Linked DNA regions of Astyanax mexicanus. The protein of the gene in region 2 interacts with the protein of the main gene of each other region in a pairwise test. Links are inferred from orthologs where the notes say so. Each region holds a gene or a part of one and is shown on either strand. Other genes may lie near its edges.

Region 1 (10,256 bases), on a different chromosome or scaffold from region 2:
ATGTTTTTCATGTGTTTTTTTAGTACACATGGGACTGATTGCTAAATTTATTGCTAGATTGTCACATTTTAAGCAGAGTACGTTTCAATAAACTGTTCATATGTGGTATCATCAGGTAATAGAGTTGATTGTCCACATAACCTGTCAAATATATATATATATATATATATATATATATATATATATATATATATATATATATCAAAAATGCCGTAATCAGAAGAAATTTAAAAACAAATGAGAAAAACCTGGAAAAGGTTACCAGGCTTAAAAAGCTTTGGGTCTCCAGTGAACCACTGTGAAAGCTAATATTTACAAATGAAGAAAACATGGAACACTGGTGAACCTTCCCAGGAGTGACCAATCAACCAAAATTATTCCAAAAGGGCAAGGACAGCTCATCGAGGAGGTCACAATAGAATCCAGAACAACATTTTAAAGACTGTAGGTCTTTTAGCTCAGTTAAGGTCAGTGCTAATAACACATAATACATAATGGCCCGTCTCACAATTGCCAAAAAAAACATCTTAATGATCCCCAGGACTTTGGCTAAATATTTTTCGGACTGACGTGACAAAAGTGGAACTTTTTGGAAGGTGTGTGTCCCATTGCATTTGGCATAAAACTAACACATAATTCCAGAAAAAAAGAATACCACACTGAATGTAAAACATGGTGGTGGTAGTGTGATGGTCTCAGACTGCTTTGCTTATTTAGGGCCTGAACAACGTGCTTTTATAGATGGAACCAGGAATACTGCTGGTTATCTGTTTGTGACCTCAAGCTCAGCCGTACTTGGGTTCTGCAGCAGGACAATGATTCAAAGCACACAAACAAGTCCACCTCTGAATGGCTTTAAAAAACAAAACAAAGGTTTTGGAGTGTCCTAGTCAAAGTCTGGTCGAAATGCTGCGGGATGATTTTAAACAGGACGTTCATGCTTGAAAACCCTCCAATGTGGCTGAATTACAACAATTCTGCAAAGAAGAGAGGAACCAAATTCTTCCACAGAGATGTGAAAGACTCTTTACCAGTTATTGGTAAGCTTGATTGCAGTTGTTGCTGCCAGTGGTGGCACAACCAAGTTGTTAGGTTTAGGGGCAACCACTTTTTACACAGGTCTAGATTGGGCTTGAATAGTTTTTTCCTTTAATAAATAAAACAATTATTTAAAAAATTATTTTTAAATTTATTCAGGTTATATGTGTCTGATTTTAAAGTTTGTTTAATAATCTAAAAAATATTGTTATGACAAATTTCACACCTCTATTTTTATTTATCTAATTTTCTGTTTACAATCATATGTAAGTCCAAACAGTTCTTACCTCACTAGCATAAAGTTTATACCTCAGGCCAAGAGGTTTGTAGTCTATCAACTGGTTTCCTCTTAGCTCCTTAAAGGCTTGCTGGAAGTCCAGAAGTGATTCCTCAAATCTGTAAGGAGATATATTTAGATATTACGCTTTATTTAAATCTGCAGTGCAAGCTCTACTGATAAAAAAAAACGAAGCCCTTTCTCAACATGTTTCCTGTTAGTGAAACACTGTGGGCACTGCAACGTTACATCAAATTCCCTCCAGTTTCACAAGGCAGACAAGAGACACACCACAAGCTAACATTTGTGGAAAATGTAGCTAACATATTAAAGATCATGTACTTCAACACATTCTGGCTGAATGGATTTGGTCATCTTATTTTAAAAGGAAGTGTTTTAATCAGACAGTTTTGTGTGCAATAAAGGAACAATCTGGTGCGCAATTAACTTTGGGTGTAGTGTAGGGTGACCAAACGTCAGTATTTCACGTCCTGTCCCAGGCGTCCCGGGTTTTTTTCAAAAAGTGAGGAAATGTCCTAGTTTTTAAATGACCTTCATTGGACCATTAAATTTACAGGCACTAGGGCACTGCGCACGGCGCTGCATGTGACATAATCCCTGAGCCGCCTCAGTGAGAGCAGTAGTGTCAGTCTCACAGTCAGAGCACCTAGACCCCAAGGAACAAGTATGAGTGTAACCAAGTGACAACTAAAATGTGTATTTAACTTAAATATTATGGATTTATTGTGAAAAAAAAAAAAAAATTAAGCATAGATGCGTTTTGGACTCACGCAACAATGCAAAAATCTCTGAAGGATTTTAATAATTATATTTTATGGTAAAATCTATAGTTAGAGAGTGGGGACAGGTAACAATGCTATATATATATATTTTTTTTTATGTTGCTAACATTGGCTGCTTTTGCTGTATTTCGTAATCCAGAGGGCGTAAGAATATGTTTTTTTTAAACAAACGTTTGTCATGTTTCACTACATCCCAAGTCCATTTCACACCTGATTTCTGCTTTAATGTCATGATTACTTCACCAGACACTTTACAGTTTTTCAGATCAGGGCCAGGCAAAGATATAGCCTCCACACAACAAGGTCTGGTTACATATAACAGTGTTACATATAACCTCCCCAAAAAACATAAAAAAAGTCCATGTCCCCTCATATATCAGTGCTATTGTTCTGATATGTATTATCAGAATACAATTTGCCATTTATGAGATGTTTTTATTTCTCTAATCCTGTTTATTTAAGTTCAGATATGTATGTGTGTTTTGACATGCCAAAAGTCATGGAATAGCAGTGTGCAAATTTATTAATTGTGAAGTATTGTTTACATCCTGGGACAGCTTGGGAGTACGAACACCTGTAAAAGTTGCGAGGTGTTGTTTTATAAGTGTGGCTGAACACAGGCAAAGTGAATTATGGGAATTACAGCAATTTCTAATAGTGGGTGCCAGATAAATGGATCATTCCATTTCTGAAATGGTGCAAGCACAGTAAACAGCACGCACAGTGGATGGTAATGACAGTGACCAGTGGTGTCTGGTGAGAAGTCACATCCATATGCAGTGCAGGAGACGGGCAGTGCATTGTTCTTTAGCTTAAAGACTAGTCAAATCTACACTGCCTGGCCAAAAAAACGTAGCCACTAAAAAAAAGTTCACACAATCTAATATTTGGTTGGATCACCTTTAGCTTTGATTGCAGCACACATTTGCTGTGGCATTGTTTTAATACGCTTCTGCAATGACACAAGACTTATCCAGTGTTGCATTCATTTTTCACTGATCTTGCAATGATGATGGTAGAGTCTGACCGCTGCACAAAGCGCAGAACATCCCAAAGATTCTCAATGAGGTTAAGATCTGGACTCTGTGGTGAACAATCCATGTGTGAAAATGATGATTTCATGCTCCCTGAATCACTATTTTACAATTCCAGCAACATGAATCCTGACATTGTTATCTTGGAATATGCCTGTGCCATCAGGGAAGATAAAAGAATTCATTGATGGAATAACCTGGTCTATATTCAGTATATTCAGGTAGTGAGCTGACTTTTTTTTCCCCAGGCAGTGTACTTTCAGCCACTGTTTCAATTAGCTCTTTAGTCTGTTACACTAAAAATCCCTATGAGATGTTTAGGGTTTTTGTGTAAAACATTTTGAAAACTCTTTTATATATAATATTTTTCTAATAAAATATTTAATTAAAATTATTTAGCAAAACAAAACAAAAAAAAAACATTGATTCAACCTTCACACTTCCCTACTTATTCTGTTGCATGTGGCAAAATTAAACATGGTACTAAATAATCACTGAAGCACTTACTTTTCTTTTTTGTAGAATGTAATTCCCCTTTGAAAAAAAGCCACAGCCAGATGCTCATCTTTTCTGATACTGCAGTCAAATGCCTTGAAATGAGAGATTAGAGAGTTTCCTCTTAAAAGCCTGAAACAACTTTTACTTCTCCTTTTTCAAAGTAACATTTATTTTAAGAAGAACATTAGAAAACGATACTGTAGCATTCTGTTTTACAATATTTTAAGTTTTGAAGCTACTTATTATAATCTGATAACTTTATCTATGACCTTTTTGACAAGGCCAAGAGTCTACAGTCGACTTTACCTTCTCAGCAGCCTCAAAGTCATCAGCGTTCAGATGGAGGCATCCAATGTTGAAGGCGATTTTAGAAGTCTTCTCCTCAATGTCCTGGAATGTCCTGAGGGCTGCGGCTACATCTCCTTTCTCTGCATAAGCCACTGCTTCATCCCACTGCCGCAGAGTGCTCACAAAAGACATGTTCCCTTCACTGCTGCTGAAACCTCACTGAAATGGCTCTTCCCTGTTATTGAGAACCAACTCAGCTCGGAACAGCCTCTTACTGTCAAAGAGGAAGTGCTTCAATCAGAGCTGGCTGCTCATTATTTCCTATGGCAGATTAACTTTCTCTGTAACTGTATTAGAGCTGGCACAGGTCCAGAAAAGACAATGGACTGAGAATCCCCCCCTCCATTCAATTTTATTTGTGTGGTCATTTTACAACACACACATTGCCACAAAACAGCTGTTCCAGGAAAAGTAACCCAGAAACAAAAAAATGAAACCAGCCCCATGACTGTCTTGTGCAAGGCTGATGGATTTGAGATCTTTTTATATCCCTCCTCAGACTCGTCTACATCTACAACCTTCTTTCTACAGTCCTCAGAGAACTCTTTGAGTTATGAAACTTTAGCAATCAACAGCAAACCAGACTTAATATCTGAGGTTTAAAAAAGACAGGCTCCTCCAGAATCCTCTCTAACCATATTCTAATCAATCACAGCTGATGAGCTGGACCTGGTTTAATAGTCTCAAAAGTTGCATTGACATATACTAATAAAGATTAAACAAAAAGGGGATGACAATTTATTAGGTTAATATAATGATTACACTCAGAGAACAGAAAACAAACATTTGAACATATTTTTAAGCATGGGGTGCTGTTAACCTGCGGTTTCTGAGGCTGGTAACTATGATGCAACAGAGGTAATTTTCCTGGAGCAGTCCTGATGAAAGCCAGTTTCATTTTAGATGGTCTTTGTGACTGCTCTTGGGGATACTTTCAAAGTTCTTAAAATTTTTCGGATTAATTTACCTTAATTTCTTAAAGTCATTTTTTTCTTTACTTAGTTGAGTAGTTTTTGCCATAATATGGATTTGAACATAATTTAAATAGGGCTATTCACTGTATACCAACTATACCTCTTTACAACTTTACAACTGATGCTCTCAAACACCTTAAAAGGGCAAGACATTCAAGACATTACTTCTTGACAAGTTCAGCACAGCTGTTAACTGAAAGTCATTCCAGGTGACTCTACCTCATAAAGCTGACTGAGAAAATGTTGAGATGTTTAAAACTGTCATTCACGCAAGGTGTTACTTTGAATAATGTAAAATATATATTTTTTAAATGTATATGTATTTCTTCATAGTATGGGTGACTTTAGTAATAAACTATAAGGCAGAAAATATGTAAATATATGTAGCTTTTTACTATCTTGAAACTCTGTATACAGGTGTATACCACAACAACTGGTTGAGTTTGAGGAAATGTATAAAACGATTTTGTGACCTAATTGCTCTTGGTTCACATCAGTACAACATGGCAACATTTTTCATTTGAAAAATGTGTGATTTTAAATAAACATTTCTCCTAAATTTCAAATAAAACTATTGCCATTTAGAGCATTAATTTGCAGAAAACGAAAAACAGAATGAAAAAGGAGTTTTTATATAAATAAATAATGCAAAGAAAACAAGTTCATAATCATAAGGTTTTAGAAGTTCAGAAATCAATATTTGGTGGAATAACCCTGGTTTTTAATCACAGTTTTCATGCATCTTGGCATGTTCTCCTCCACCAGTCTTACACACTGCTTTTGGATAACTTTATGCCACTCCTGTTGCAAAACTTCAAGAAGTTCAGCTTGGTTTGATGGCTTGTGAAAATTCAACTTCCTCTTGATTATATTCCAGAGGCTTTCAATTTGGTAAAATCAAAGAAACTCATATTTAGTAGTAGCCCATACTGGGGAGGATTTGGCAAAGCGACATTTATCTATTTAATATTTTGTTATGATTTTAATATTATTAATTAGGATTATTATAAGATTATTAGATTATTGTTTCATCTTCTTATATTTTTCAATAACGCATAATTGTCTGTTTTTATATGAGATAAAAATCTGTATTTATGGATTAGGAGGAGTTTAGCCATTCACGGCGGCGGTTTCCCGGGCAACCCGAGCAGCCAGTGGTGTGAGAGGAGGAAGCGGCTCCAGATCTCTATGGTCAGAGAGAGCCATGGCATTTCCTGTGAGTGTAAACAGAGCCGTCGGGCTGCCATGGCCTCGTCCTTTAGGTGAGGGGGAAAGAGCGGCCGCCGGAGCGCTCTCTCCATGAACCAGCAGCCGCTCTGCGCCGCGGGAGAACTGGGCGGTGAGGCATGAGGCGCTGGTGTTAGCGAGCGAGCTACCATGGACGTGGGTTCAATGCTGTACAACAGTTTGAAAGATGTGACCTGGAGCTCCACCACTCTGCCCCTGGATCGGCTGGTCAGCGCCTACAGACTCCCGCAGATTGTGAAGCTGGACGGCGGTAAGGCTGGACTTATAAACTGGACTTTAATAAACTCGGCTGCAGGTGTGGGATGTGTTTTTGGGCGGCTTTAGTTGGTACTAGGCGAGTTTTGGCTCGGATAAACTCGCTCCAACTCCCGAGCGTGGGTGGCGTTGTAGCTCGCCTGGAATTCCGAGCATTAGCTCTGGCTGGTTAGCTTAGCACGCCTGCTAAAGTTAGTTAGCTCGTTAGCTCCATTGTCAGTGCTGGTGGACTGCTGGCCATCATAAAGTTAGGTTAGCCAGCCTTTAATAATAATAATATTGCAGCAGGGAAGCGTTAGCTAGCTGTGTTTTATTAGTGGATATCTAGGTAATCTAGCTAGCCATGTTCTTTCTAACAGGTCAGGTCAGTGTTAACCACTGAAACTAAAGTTACAGTCCATAATGTCGAGTAACAAAAATATTATTAGCTAGCTTAGGTTAGGTATTCACAGACTAGAGGTGGGTAAGGCAGCTCCAGAAAGTAAAAATCCACCACAGGGTTTTGTACCATCTGCCAGCTGCAGCAGAGCCGCCCAGGCAGTTGGTACAAAACCCGGGGATGGATTTTTACTTTCTGGAGCTTGCTTACCCACCTCTATCCCAGACTCACCATATTGCTTATATTTTTTTAGTTTAAACGCCAATGTTGAATCTAGTTTACTTTAGGTGTTGTCAACAGAGTTGAAACCGCTGACCTAGTTATCTAGGTTAGATAGTATTGTTCTTAACTATGTTATGTGCAGCTAAGGCACACTGAACTATAGCTAAAGCACTAAAGTCAGGTCCAGCCCGTAAACCTGCTAGCGGTTAGGAGCTGTAAATCACAGGATCCGCAGAAAGGTTGGTCTTCTTGCTCTCTCTGTTGGTGTAGGAACTGGCTTGACAACAGAGATTTGGTTTACTTACAGAGAAAGATTGCCCCAGTGATAACTGTATGCATATGGTTGTCAAGGCTGTCACAATTTGAAGACATTTACTTAATATTTGAATGAACAAAGCTTGGTTCCAGATGTTTGTTGGACACAGTGTTCAATTCCATCACCAGCTTCCCTGATATAACGTCATTAAGCACTGACTTAGCAAACTAGGTGTTTGATAATAACCAGGCCTCTCACAATAATTTGCTACATTATTGACTTATCATACAATATTGTGATCAACAAACCTTTTTTTTGTTAACACTAATATTGGCCTTTTTGTTTAGTTTCTAAGATGAACGCATTAGCTAAGTTTGTAAATTTATTTATTTTTTTGTTATAATTAGGGCTGCAACTAATGAGTGTTTTGTTAGTTGACCAATCTAACGATCAGTCGATTAGTCAGCGATTATTTTTACAATGTTCTACATCTGTCAAATGATAAAAACAGCTAAAAAAAGATTTATACGCCATTTAAATGTCTAGATGTTGTTTAAACATGGAAAGTTCAGAGACACAGACTAAGTTGAGTGTAACCTGTGTGAGTAACCCATTTATCTCACATTGTGTTTCTGTCCATAGCACTTGTGTGTAATGTGTACTGTTACGGTCACAAATTAAGTATTAGTTGACAATGAAATTTGTAGTAGACAAATAAAAAATATATATAACATTGTCGATTATATCGACTTATTGTTGCAGCTCTATTAATAATTAGTAGGTAAATGCTCATTAAAGATGTTCATTGACGACTAATTGTTAACCTGTAGCACTAAGCAAAGTACGAAGGTCAGAAACACAATGGGAAAAGGGTAACACTAAACTTGACCTGCATCTCCAAAAGTGCCCAAACACATCAGATGACACACACTAAATAGCTGCACCATCCAGAACAATGTTCAGGACATTTAAAGAGCATTTAAATCCCACATTTAGCTGTTGCTATTGTTTGGAGCGACAGAGAAAGCTAGAAGGAAGAAAAATAAAAAAAAGTAAGGAAAATAAAGTTTTTGCACTATACTGTATACATTTAATATCATGCTTCTACACAAAAAAATCTGTCCTTTAGCTCTGTGATCACAAAACTCTCATCATCTTATTTCACCTCCCAAATGTGCTGAAATGCTGAGGTAATATTACCGTCTGTCTTAAATTCTGAAGTAATTTGGGACAAACCATTGAGGGAAAATTCTGGGAACTGTCTGGCATAATCTCCTCTGCCTGCATCCACACAAAGCCTGAATCATTAATAAGGAACCCAGATGAGCACTTTAATGGCACCCTGCTGTCTGTGACACATTCACTTCACTTAGTCAGGTCAGGAGCTGAAAAGATGAATAACTCGTCTGGGTGGGAATTAGTGAATGAAAGTGATTTGCATGGAGATGCAATCTGGAAAGGCTACATCCGTAGATTTTTATGTAAATGACTTCCCTGAGCATTCCCTCGAGTTGAGAACGCAGGCTTGATATTAGCTTAATTAAATTCAGAGGGCTGGCCTGGTTTAACTCTGTTACAATATTTCAGTGTTGCTACATGAAACATTTATTTGTGTTGAGATTATATCTCTGAATGCCTGCTTGTCTCTGTGGCCTTACCTGACTTATTGTGCTGATACTATAGTGTCATATTTCCATATTGATGTAGATAAGTGTCTTTTTCTCCAGGGGAATCGGTGGAAGGGCTAAGAGAAAATGACTACCTCTTGATTCATTCATGTCGGCAGTGGACCACGATTACTGCTCATAGCCTGGAGGAGGGCCATTATGTCATCGGACCGAAAATCGAGATCCCTGTCCATTATGAGGGTGAGGCCTCTCATAGTGTTGTGTAGGGCTCTCTCTCTCTCTCTCTCGGCTGTCCGCAAACACTGTACATTCTTTTTGCTGTGTTAACAAGATGTATGTATATGCCTTGCTCTTACATGTGTAATATTTTTAGACATATAAAACACTAAGTAATAACAGAACAATTGTCGGGAACAAAACATGAAACAGTTCAAGCCAAATAAAGCAGAGAAATTGTCATCATAGTAAAGCTATTGCATCTGCTATGTAGGCTGCAGCATTTTCCATCAGTTTTACGCTGGCAGGCAATTATCTAATTGACCCCTCCATATAGACGTCACTCTAGTGACCGAACAAATGCTGAGGACTGGAAAAAAGGTCATTCACTTTCAGTTTGAAAATTGATGTTCAATAAGTGGCAGTAAATTCCCTGATATTTATGTAGCTACTTAAATTAAGAACATCAACCCCATTGTTGCAGCTTATGTTAATAAGTGCTCCAGTGATGCAATCTAGTTTTAATGCTTTGCAGTGTGGACTTTGCAATGTTTGTTTACAGCAGAGGACGTGGTCTGATAAAGTTAATCTTTTAATTTCCAGTTGTAAAAGAAATGAAAGTGTAAGCCCAGTGGAAGTGTTATTCCCTGCTATTTACAGCTATATTAAGTCTAAACGTTTTATGCAGTAAAAAGTTTTATTTATATGTATAAATATATTTTTATTTTCGCTACTGGTTTGAATTTTTTTGGTTAGAAACTATCTGCAGGTTAGGTTTAAAGCAGGAAACATGAGTTGTGTTTGACCGATGGAGATGGCAGATAGCCTTGTTTTTATAATTCTGCTGAAGGTTGCCATTTTCAAAGCTACACACACACTGCAAAAGCAAAAAATCTAAAAGAAATTAGTAAGGACTATTTCTGAAAGCCATTTATATGTGACCTTGTTTCCATATGACAGAACATAAAGAGCAATAAACACAAATAATAATCCAATTCACTACTTTAAATTTATTTTTATAAGTGGAAGTATTCACCCTTGAATCTTCTGACATTTTGTAGTGCTACAGTCTGGAATTCA
Region 2 (11,017 bases):
GTTGGTCCTCACTAACTGCACGCAGAGAATCTCATTGGCTAATTTTTATTTAGAAATCACTTTCTGCCTATTTGCCAGTTTATATATCTTCTCTAATCTCAATTAATAACAGTAATTATCAGACTCACTCCAGTGGCTGGATCACCTGTCACATACCAAGAGTTTTTAGTGAACTGGGAAAATTTTTGCTTTTAGCTACAGTGCACCAGTGAGCTAGAAATGTTGAAACTAAACTCGCTGGTGTCACTGAATAATTTTTAACTTTTTTTTTCTAAACACCACCAGAAAGCCTGGTGGTGACTGTTTAAATTATTATTTTTATTAGTTTATCTTTTTCTTATTATTAATTTTTCTTTATGTATTTTATTTATTTTAATTTAATTATTATTAGTTTTTACTTTATTTTTTTCTAATGTTTTATATTTCGATTCTTATATTATGTTACTTCATTATTGTTCATTTTATCATCTCTTATCATTCTTTAGTTTTTTTTTATTTCTTGTATTTTATAAATTCTTAACATTTTATGTGTCAATTTAGTTTTTTATGGTCTTTTAGAATGTTCTATTTTACATATATATTTTATGAATATATATATATATATATATATATATATATATATATATTAAATGTTGATTTAAAATGAGTATTTATTTTATTTATTATTTTTTACAATTTTATTCCTTATTTTTTTTAATTTCTTATTAAATGTTTTCAATCTCTTTGATGCTGTAAACGCTCGGCAACATTGTAAATGAGGGTCACCCTCAATGTTTTCCCGAGTGAAAATAAAGGTTGATCGCTTGATTGAGTAATTGATTGATTAAAGTTTTACCATTTTGCTCATAAACTTTACATTAAAAACCTGCGCATGTCTACGTCTCGTCTGGCCCGCGTGAGATACAGAGATGTTGGGGTTTAAGAAGCCAGCCACAGCTACCCATACAGACATTTTCTGTCATCTAAACAGATCCGATTTGAAAAACCGAATACGATTTGCTTAAAGCTTTAGTTACACTTGTCTACTAAAGAGTTTAAAGTGTGCGCACCCAAACCTCACCCTGATTCTGGATTGTGGTTTGTCTTTCCTCAAACGTTCTTGGCAAAAAATTACCCACTGCTGACTAGGGACACTCCAGAACCCCACCCCAGAAATGTTCTGACCCAGTTTTCTGGGTATAAAAACCTGACCCTGACCAACACTGCTCAGGTCTTCACACCTGCAATCTGATATTCAGCAGCATGCACACGTTTCAGTGACCCCTGATCCAATGACCTTTTACTGTCAGTAGAAAAATGAATCGATCTCTGAAATAAAATAATTAAAATAGCAAAAAAGAAAAGAGGCCAAAAGCAAACGTTTGCATGTTCAGTTCATAAAAAACACTTTGGAACGAAATTGTATTCTCACGGTCCAGTTACACCCAAAGAGCAATTGTTAAAATAGATAAATATAAAGATAAAATAAAATAGAATAGAATAGAATAAAATATAGTAGAGAAGTAGCAGCAACATTACGTTCAGAGTGTAAGTTTTGCTGTAGCATCATGGATACGTAAGTGTGAATGAAAAGCATAAACACAATAAAGTGATAATGTATCTTTGTGCGGGTAAAGTGACAGGATTAGTTTTTAAATATGTAATTGTCCTTGAAAGTGTCAGTGCAGTGTACTTACTGACTAGGTGGCAGAGGCGTGCAGACATAGACATCAACTCTGCCCTTTATTAACCAAAGTGTCCTTTTGAAACTTTGTTTAAAAAAAAAAAAAAAAAAAAAAAAAATATATATATATATATATATATATATTATTAAGTGATCTTTTTAATAAATGATCTTTTGAAAACCTGAGCGATTAAAAACGAGTGAAAACAGAATGCCCTGAAATCAGCTCGCACACTCCCGACCTCTCTCTTCCTCTGTCACGTGACCCCGGGCCGTCGCGCGCAAGGCACACTAGATGCGCTGCAGCAGCAGTTCAGTTCAGCGAGTCTTCAGCACAGTACGCACAGCAACAGATAACAACAGCTTCTTCTCCTCCGTGTCCCACCAGCCAGGTAACATACACATCAAGTAAAATCCTACCGTTTGCCCTCTAAGCCCAACGTGAAATCAGTTTGTTGTGCAGTAAAATGTCTCATACAGCACCAAACTACTAAGCATCTTTAACCGACTGGTCACCAGATAAACTAGCCGCTCTAGCCCAAATCAATGATAGATAACTTTTATTTTAATGAAGTGTTCCACATGAGCTAAAAAGTGCCCTTTTTCCCTCCTGAGCACTTGCCCCCCAAAGTGTCTGTGCACGCCACTGCTAGGTGGAGTTTAAGTGTCAATAGACTGCAATATGCTGCTAAAAAATACAAAATAAAACTGTAATTTTGTGGCAGCAGCCGTGTCGGACATTGTCTCTGAAAACTGGCAACTATTTAGTCATTTTATTTCAAACTTTTATAAAAATACATGTAAGAAATCTGCATTTTCTGTTATCAGGAGTGCCAGTCACTTTTATAGACATGTTTTATAGACATTTTTAGGACTTCCTGTTGCCAAAAATGACTATTATTGTACATTTATTTTTGATTATTGGGGCAAAGTGTTCTTGTGCATTGTAACTGCTTCAATAGTGATGATGGCATATCAGCATAACAAAAATATGTTTATGTAAAATTACAGAAACTGCTAAAACTTATCATCTAAAAGCGTATTTAGTTTTTAAAGAATTGTATAGTAAATAATATATAACAAATAGATTTTCTTTTATTTTGACAGTATACTTTTGATTTATTTATTTTAAATGAAAATTCTCTGAGAGTTTGAGTCTTGGTCTTTCAGATTTTAACCTAACCAAGCATCACAAACTGAGGAATTAGCTAACGAAAATTAAATGATATTCTTACAGTTTAGCCATCTCCTGATCTGGCACTATTTATTTGAACACGTGGAAACTGAGGCCTTGCAGACAGTTCTGAGGTAGTCTGACATTTCTTGACATTTTTGAATATTGCTCCAACCTTGTAGTTCCCAAACTGCTATACGTGCTTTTATTCAGCAGAAGGTAATCCAAAAGAGTTAAAAAAAGTGTCATTAATCAGTTTTTTAAAATTAAGTCTACTTTAAACACAGACCTTGCAAAATAAAATTGTTAAAGGTGCTGATGTAATGTAAAAAAAAAAAAAGCTAAGACTTTTGAGCTCTGACTCCGATTAATTTTGGATCAGGCAGCTGGATTTAGGGTGTGTCTGTGTGTCCTTGGTATCGAGAGGGCACAAAAAAATACATCTTGCACCTCACGCCTTGTCATGGGTTGTCACGCCAATTAATCATGGATTTGTTTTGTGCCCTAACTAACATTCAACTACATGTTTATTAAATGCAAATGAACTAAAAGGGGAAAGTAAATGATTCTCTATTAAATATAACCCTACATTCAGCTCTAATCCAATATTTTAGCATTGGGTTTAGGGTTAGATTTTAAGCTTAGGTTAAGGGTAGGGTTAGGGTTAGGTGTAGGGTTAGATTTTAGGGTTGAATAAGGGTTAAGGTTAGGGTTAGGTGTAGGGTTAGATTTTAGGGTTGATCAAGGCTTAAGGTTAGGTGTAGGGTTCGATTTTAGGGTTGATTAAGGCTTAAGGTAAGGGTTAGGTGTAGGGTTAGATTTTAAGCTTAGGTTAAGGTTAGGGTTAGGTGTATGGTTAGATTTTAGGGTTGATTAAGGGTTAAGGTTAGGGTTAGGTGTAGGGTTAGATTTTAAGGGGTTTATTAATGGTTAGGGTTAGGTGTAGGGTTAGATTTTAAGGGGTTTATTAATGGTTAGGGTTAGGTGTAGGGTTAGATTTTAAGGGGTTTATTAATGGTTAGGGTTAGGTGTAGGGTTAGATTTTAGGGTTGATTAAGGGTTAAGGTTAGGGTTAGGTGTAGGGTTAGATTTTAAGGGGTTTATTAATGGTTAGGGTTAGGTGTAGGGTTAGATTTTAAGGGGTTTATTAATGGTTAGGGTTAGGTGTAGGGTTAGATTTTAGGGTTGATTAAGGGTTAAGGTTAGGGTTAGGTGTAGGGTTAGATTTTAGGGTTGATTAAGGGTTAAGGTTAGGGTTAGGTGTAGGGTTAGATTTTAAGGGGTTTATTAATGGTTAGGGTTAGGTGTAGGGTTAGATTTTAAGGGGTTTATTAATGGTTAGGGTTAGGTGTAGGGTTAGATTTTAGGGTTGATTAAGGGTTAAGGTTAGGGTTAGGTGTAGGGTTAGATTTTAGGGTTGATTAAGGGTTAAGGTTAGGGTTAGATGTAGGGTTAAGTTCTATTTTGAATGATTTACATTTAACATAGGGTTAAGTTCAATTTAAAGGACATTCAATTCAGTGTTAGTTGAATGTCAGTTGAGCATCAACAAGGCTGTAAGATGGACCATCCAAGTAAAGTGTGACCCAAATTTCACTAAGAAAAACCTTACTCATGGCACAACTTCAACTGCACAACTAACTCTGATGTTATATTACTCAATTCAGCCAAGTATGTTCACTGTAAATGAACATTTTACTTGTTTTTCATTGCTAACAATAAAACTCCCAAAAAAAAAAACACAGTTCGTCACCTTGCAGGAAAGAGATACAGAACCTACCCTGGTGTTTTTGGGTTCGCAGAGCAATCCGAGCCTTGTTTTTTTTTTTTTGCGTAGCTCCTCTCCAGCCAGCAGCAGCCTCCTTCCTCAAATGTCAGTGCTGTTGAGTTTAGCTTCCTTCCAGGACACGGTATTCAACCCCAGAGCCAAAATGCAGAAGTGAGAGGCAGAACAAGCAAACCATTCAACTTATCTCACCGTCCAACATCAACTTTCAGTGCCTGCTTATACATCAGACTCAATACGTGCTACGGCTATTTTCATAAAAGCATTCTGCCACCGTCTAAATATACCGTTCATATATATATGTATCGATTCACTGCAGGGTTTGGGGGTCTTTTGTGGTTTGTGAGTTTCGGTTGTTGTTATATGTGATGCTAATTCTGTTCATGATGAAATGTTCACATGGTTTACAGTGCAGTAGGGGCTTTCACATGGTATAAGATACTGTACATAAAATTAACAATAAATTAAAACAAACAAAAAAAAAAGCCCTATGATTTACTATTGTAGTGCTGATATCACTTAAGAAGTGTTACAGCTCTGGAAAAAATTAAGAGAGCACTTCAGTTTCTGAATCAGTTTCTCTGATTTTGCTATTTACAGGTTTATGTTTGAGTAAAATTAACATTGTTGCTTTACTCTATAAACTACAGACAACATTTCTCCCAAATTACAAATAGAAATATTCTCATTTAGAGCATTTATTTGCAGAAAATGGGAAATGGATGAAATAACAAAAAAGATGCAGAGCTTTCAGACTTCATTTCAATTCAAAGAAAACAAGATCATATTCATAAAGTTTTAAGAGTCCAGAAATAATAAATATTTGGTGGAATAACCCTGGTTTTTGATCTCAGTTTTCATGCATATTGGCATATTCTGGCATGATCTCCTCCACCAGTCTTACACACTGCTTTTGGATAACTTTATGCTACTCACTCCTGATGCAAAAATTCAAGCAGTTCAGCTTGGTGGTTTGATGGCTTGTGATCATCCATCTCCCTCTTGATTATATTCCAGAGGTTTTCAATTTGGTAAAATCAAAGAGAATCATCATTTTTAGGTGGTCTCTTTTTTCAGAGCTCTATATATAAAAGAACAGTCATATGATAGGCATGTACTTCTCGTACACAAAGAAGCAATAACTCTTATTGTTTATTTGAGAGTAATTACACAAACAAAAAAATAGTTGCACCCACATGGAAGGGTCACATTGCAATTTTATTCAAAAGAAAAATAAAGGTTATGAGAAGCGATAAATTATTAACAATTTACACTGATATGGACAAAATTTATTGTAGTACATATACAGATGTAGTGCCCTATTTTAGTGATCTACAGTACACTGGTCAATTGCGGATCACGCAGCTGGATTTAGGGGCGTGTCAGTTTGTCTTTGGTATTGTGAGGGTGCAAAAAATGTGTGTACTAATTCTCTTAACCAATCATGTGTGTATTTTAAGCTTAACGTGAAATAAACCAATCAATATGACACTTACCATTACCTTTAAGAGGCAGGTGAGCTCTGACTTTGGCACGTTCGTATCTTAACAGCACAGCACTTTTTGCGTCTCAGCAGGGGATACTGATCTGCATGTTCATGCTTTTTTTCACGCATTTAAGAGAACAGCAATATTATTTTATACTTTATTCTGTTTATCGTTGAGTTAAAAGTCAGGTTTGAGCTCTGCACTGCGTCTCTGTGTGTGTGTTTAGTGAGCGGGCTTGTATAGGAATGGACTCTGATGATTGACTGTTGTCTAGGTTCATTTCAGTCAGTGGCGCTCCTATGTTTTCTGCCATCCAAATAGCAACAAGCTATACATTTTCCTGAACACAACTCACTTCCAGACTATCACACCACACCATCAGTGTAGATTTGTTCCTAAGCTCAGACGCTATTTTATTGGTGGGAAAATAGACTGTTGACGGGGTGTTAGATAGCAAAGAGTATATGAATTGTAAATAAATAAATAAATAAATAATTAAAGGTACAGTACAGGCCAAAAGTTTGGACACACCTTCTCATTGAATGCATTTTCTTTATTTTCTAACTATTTACATTGTAGATTCTCACTGAAGGAATCAAAACTATGAATGAACACATGTGGAGTTTTATGTACTTAACAAATAATAAAAAAAAATGAGCTGTCCTCCACAGTCCTCGGACCTGAACCCAATCCAGATGGTTTGGGGTGAGCTGGAGCACAGAGTGAAGAAGGCAAAGGGGCAACAAGTGCTAATAAACACCTCTGGGAACCTCTGGCCACCTCTTGAAGCTCATTGAGAGAATGATGCCAAGAGTGTACAAAGCAGTAATCAGAGCAAAGGGTGGCTATTTTGAAGAAACTAGAAAATAACTTTTTTTTGTTAAGTACATAAAACTCCACATGTGTTCATTCATAGTTTTGATGCTTCAGTGAGAATCTACAATGTAAATAGTCATGAAAATAAAGAAAACGCACTGAAAAAGAGAAGGTGTGTCCAAACTTTTGGCCTGTACTGTATGCTTAAAAAAATGGCTTCTATCTGTTTTTGCAAATTAACTGTTCATATACAGTACCAGTCAAAAGTTTGGACACACCTTATTATTCAATATTTCTATTGGTTTAATATGCTTAATGTTCAATTTGTAAATGAACACTGAAATCATCCAGACTATGAAGGAACACATATGGAATCATGTAGTAAGTTAAAAGTGTTAAATAAACCAAAATACTCTCTATTTAGCATTTAGGTTCTTTTATCTGGGGAGCTGTTAACTTGTGGGTTCTGAGGCTGGTAACTCACTCACTGATGAACTAATCCTGTGCAACAGAGCAAACTCTTGCTCTTCCTTTCCAGGGATGGGGGGTCCTGATAAGAGCCAGTTTCATCATAACATTTTTGATGGTCTCTGCAACTGACTGACCTTCATTTCTTAAAGTCATTTTTTAAAGTCTTTACTTAGTTGATTAATTCCTGCCATTAATTTTTTAATAACATTACTCAAATAGAGCTATTCACTGTATTATTCACCAAATCTACCTCTTCACAACTTTACAGCTGATGCACTTAAACACATTAGGAGAGCAAAAAAATTAAGATATTCCAGGTGACTCTATACCTCATGAAGCTAACTGAGAAAATACCAAGATGTGCAAAACTGCCATTGTAGTAAGCCGGAGTAAGCTATCTAAAATATAAAATATTTCCTTTTTTGTTAATTAAATAATTCCATATGTTTCTCTTCATAGTTTGGATGAAGTTAGTATTGATCTACAGATCCCTTAAATTTAAGGTGTTTCCAAACTGTATACACTGTAAACCCATAAGCTGTTTGAACTCAAATGATTTAAGTCTGTTTTACATAAAATTGGAGATTTCTAAACAATACTCAACTATTTTGAGTTAGTTGAATGTTTGAGAGCACATATACTGTACTATTCAAACTGAGATATTTGAGTTGAACCAACTTACAGTCATATGAAAAAGTTTGGACACCCCTATTAATCTTAATCATTTTTAGTCGCCTGAGGTGTGCTTTTGCTTTTGCTTTTGCATACCTCAGGCGACTCTGTTTGTGGCGTGCTTGCAGAAATGGCTTCTTTCGCATCACTCTCCCATACAGCTTCTCCTTGTGCAAAGTGCACTGTATTGAGACCACTTTTTTTTTTACTGCACATTTTCTGTTAGTACAATAAACCTCATTTCAATCCTGAAATATTACTGTGTCCATCAGTTGTTAGATATATCAAACTGAAATGGCTGTTGCAAACACCCAAATATTTACAACTAAAAATGATTAAGATTAATAGGGGTGCCCAAACTTTTTCATATGACTGTATCATATCTGAGCTTAGTCTGTTGCTATTGGCAGCTTCTTTTCCATTGGCTTCTGTCACAATCTATTTGCATACTGGGTGTGTCCAACAGTTTCCGACAAAACACTCACCATCAGTGTGTAGTGATTCCATCCCCTGGGCTTCCTTAGAAATAAATGAACTTCCCCTTTAGTGGTAATAACTTGATTTTTTATTTAAGTTAACTCAAGTTTTCATCCCCCATTGCTTAAAAAAAACAAATTGACAAACCTTAGAAGCAAGCCTTAAAAAGTGAAGTAAACTGAACTTATCCGGTCTTACAGTATAACTAAAATAAAAAAGTTGTAATAACTTAATGTTTTGAGTTATGCTAACTTAAGTTTTCATTCCCCATTACTTAACTAATTATTAACCCTTGTGTGGTGTTTTTATTTTTCATCAAATGATACTAAAAAAATATTTTTTCTAACTCAAACTCATTGGCTCATGTTTTGTGAAAAACATATATCAAAACACATTTTCGATAAACACACACTGTACACCCCCACCCCCCCCCCCCCTACACATTTATATTACATACAGTATGTTTGGCCAAGGGTTAATAAACATTGCTTCATTTGTAAATTTGAAACTAAACAAATTTTCTACTTATATCTTGAGTTTAATTCATTTTCTTTTACATTTTATTAAAAAACTAATAAAAAGAAATTGAAAAGAAATGTAACATAAGAAAGGTAAAGGGCAAATATTAACCATGTAAGCTGTTTATATTGCTTGCAATTTAGGTGAAGCGAGCATATGTAAAGCATTTTAATGTAAAATTGCTTAATTTTGCTGAATTAAATACAAGTAACAAAGTAAACGAGTAACAAAAATATGAACACCACACAAGGGTTAAGGCAACCAGTTTCCTAATTTTTTTTAAGTAAACTCAACTTATCCAGGCTTACAGTGCACCAGCTTAAAAAGCCTGTGTTAGATTGCAGAGTCAGGCTTCATAAGGAAAATCTGTGAAATTCTTCTTTCTAAGTGAATATGAATAAGGAACCACAGTGGTCGTCTGGTTTCTGTTCTATACCATGATTCATTTCTGAGTATCAGGGTGTCTTTAAGAGAGCTCAGCACTTTCTGTTAGTTGTTAAGTGAAAGGATGGGATAAGGTGCCCTATGTGCTCCAAAAGTCAAATGAAAAGGTTGGAGGAAAACATGGTTTTGACTTTTAAATGAGAGAACATGATGAGCTGTGATTAATAGGACCGGGGCAGGAATTAACGAGGTACACAAGGTCAGATTTAAATTTCAGGTTGACTTTAAAAAAAAAAAAAAATATTAAGATCTGTTTATTTAAAAAAAAAATACATATTAGAGATGATTTCAATAAGAAGGATAAAAAATCAATTGCACTACACACAGCAGAAAAAAATATTTAATGGATATTTAATATGCTAATGATACGTTATGCTTCTCTGTAACACCACATACATAAATTACAAGTTGGTTGTGCTACGCTAATTATAAGGGGCCGGTCAAAACCAAAAACGCCAGGTCCGATTTTTTTCCCCAGTCCAGCCCTGACTGGGTCCTTTAATAAATGGAGATATTTGCTGCTTGTGGCTCTACCTTTTCTGAGTACACACTTCAATGCACTATTCCAACAGGACAATGCTCGACCATATACTGTTGGACTCTAAAGACTGTGTTCCAAAGTCTAGGCTGGAGCCAAGTTAGGCTGCATTTCTTTGGCCACTACATCATAAAAGACTGTTCCAAACTGAAGGATCCTTTATATAATTTAATTTCATGTAAATTTAAGCAACTTTAACTCGGTTTCAAGACTTAAATGTCACACAGAGTAAATAAGTGAACTGAACTTCAGTCAATCCTTTCTTTTAGCAAACTTTACTTCATTTCTGCATACAATATTACCTAATTACAATTACTTAAAGTATACAATATTATTATACATAATTTTAGTTAAAACACACATTCAAATATTTACATAATCTCAAAGATTTATTTTGTAAACAGACCAAGTCTCACCGTCTCCACACATGGATGGCATGTAATACATTATTTTTAGTATACTAAAAATATATAAAGTATACTAAAAATGTATTACATGCCATCCATGTGTGGAGACGGTGAGACTTGGTCTGTTTACAAAATAAATCTTTGAGATTATGTAAATATTTGAATGTGTGTTTTAACTAAAATTATGTACAATAATATTGTATACTTTAAGTAGTTGTAATTAGGTACTATTGTATGCAGAAATGAAGTAAAGTTTGCTAAAAGAAAGAATTGATTTTGCAAAAATAAATGAAGTTTAATTAAAGTAAGGATTGACTGAAGTTTAGTTCACTTATTTACTCTGTCTAACATTTAAGTATTGAAACTGAGTTGAAGTTACTTAAATTTATCTAAAATTAAACTTACTTAAAAAAAGCAAATGCAGGAAGTTGCAAAACCTTTTTTTTAAGTCAATTTTACGCATCATTTTTTTTTTAAGTGTAGTAGTAATTTTGACGGCGCAATGGATGTATTAATCAAAACTATATTGTGTCATGTCCTACACATCTAGAAAACCTGGTGTA

What was found.
Region 1: the proteins of grap2a (region 2) and garem interact in binary tests that used the Homo sapiens proteins (3 or more experiments, as listed by UniProt). The link is inferred for Astyanax mexicanus from reciprocal best matches to the Homo sapiens genes GRAP2 and GAREM1.

Annotation. Positions count from the first base shown.
Region 1 is NC_064415.1:33,924,616-33,934,871, reverse strand, and holds the start of garem (GRB2-associated and regulator of MAPK protein 1), read left to right. Parts: upstream 1-6,143; 5' UTR 6,144-6,349; coding exon 6,350-6,470; intron 6,471-9,059; coding exon 9,060-9,200; intron 9,201-10,256. Other genes in the region: ncf2 (neutrophil cytosol factor 2), read right to left, coding at 1,326-1,434, 3,660-3,742, 3,957-4,130.
Region 2 is NC_064426.1:7,148,441-7,159,457, reverse strand, and holds the start of grap2a (GRB2-related adapter protein 2a), read right to left. Parts: upstream 4,741-11,017; 5' UTR 4,618-4,740; intron 1-4,617. UniProt on the Homo sapiens protein: Interacts with SLP-76 to regulate NF-AT activation. Binds to tyrosine-phosphorylated shc.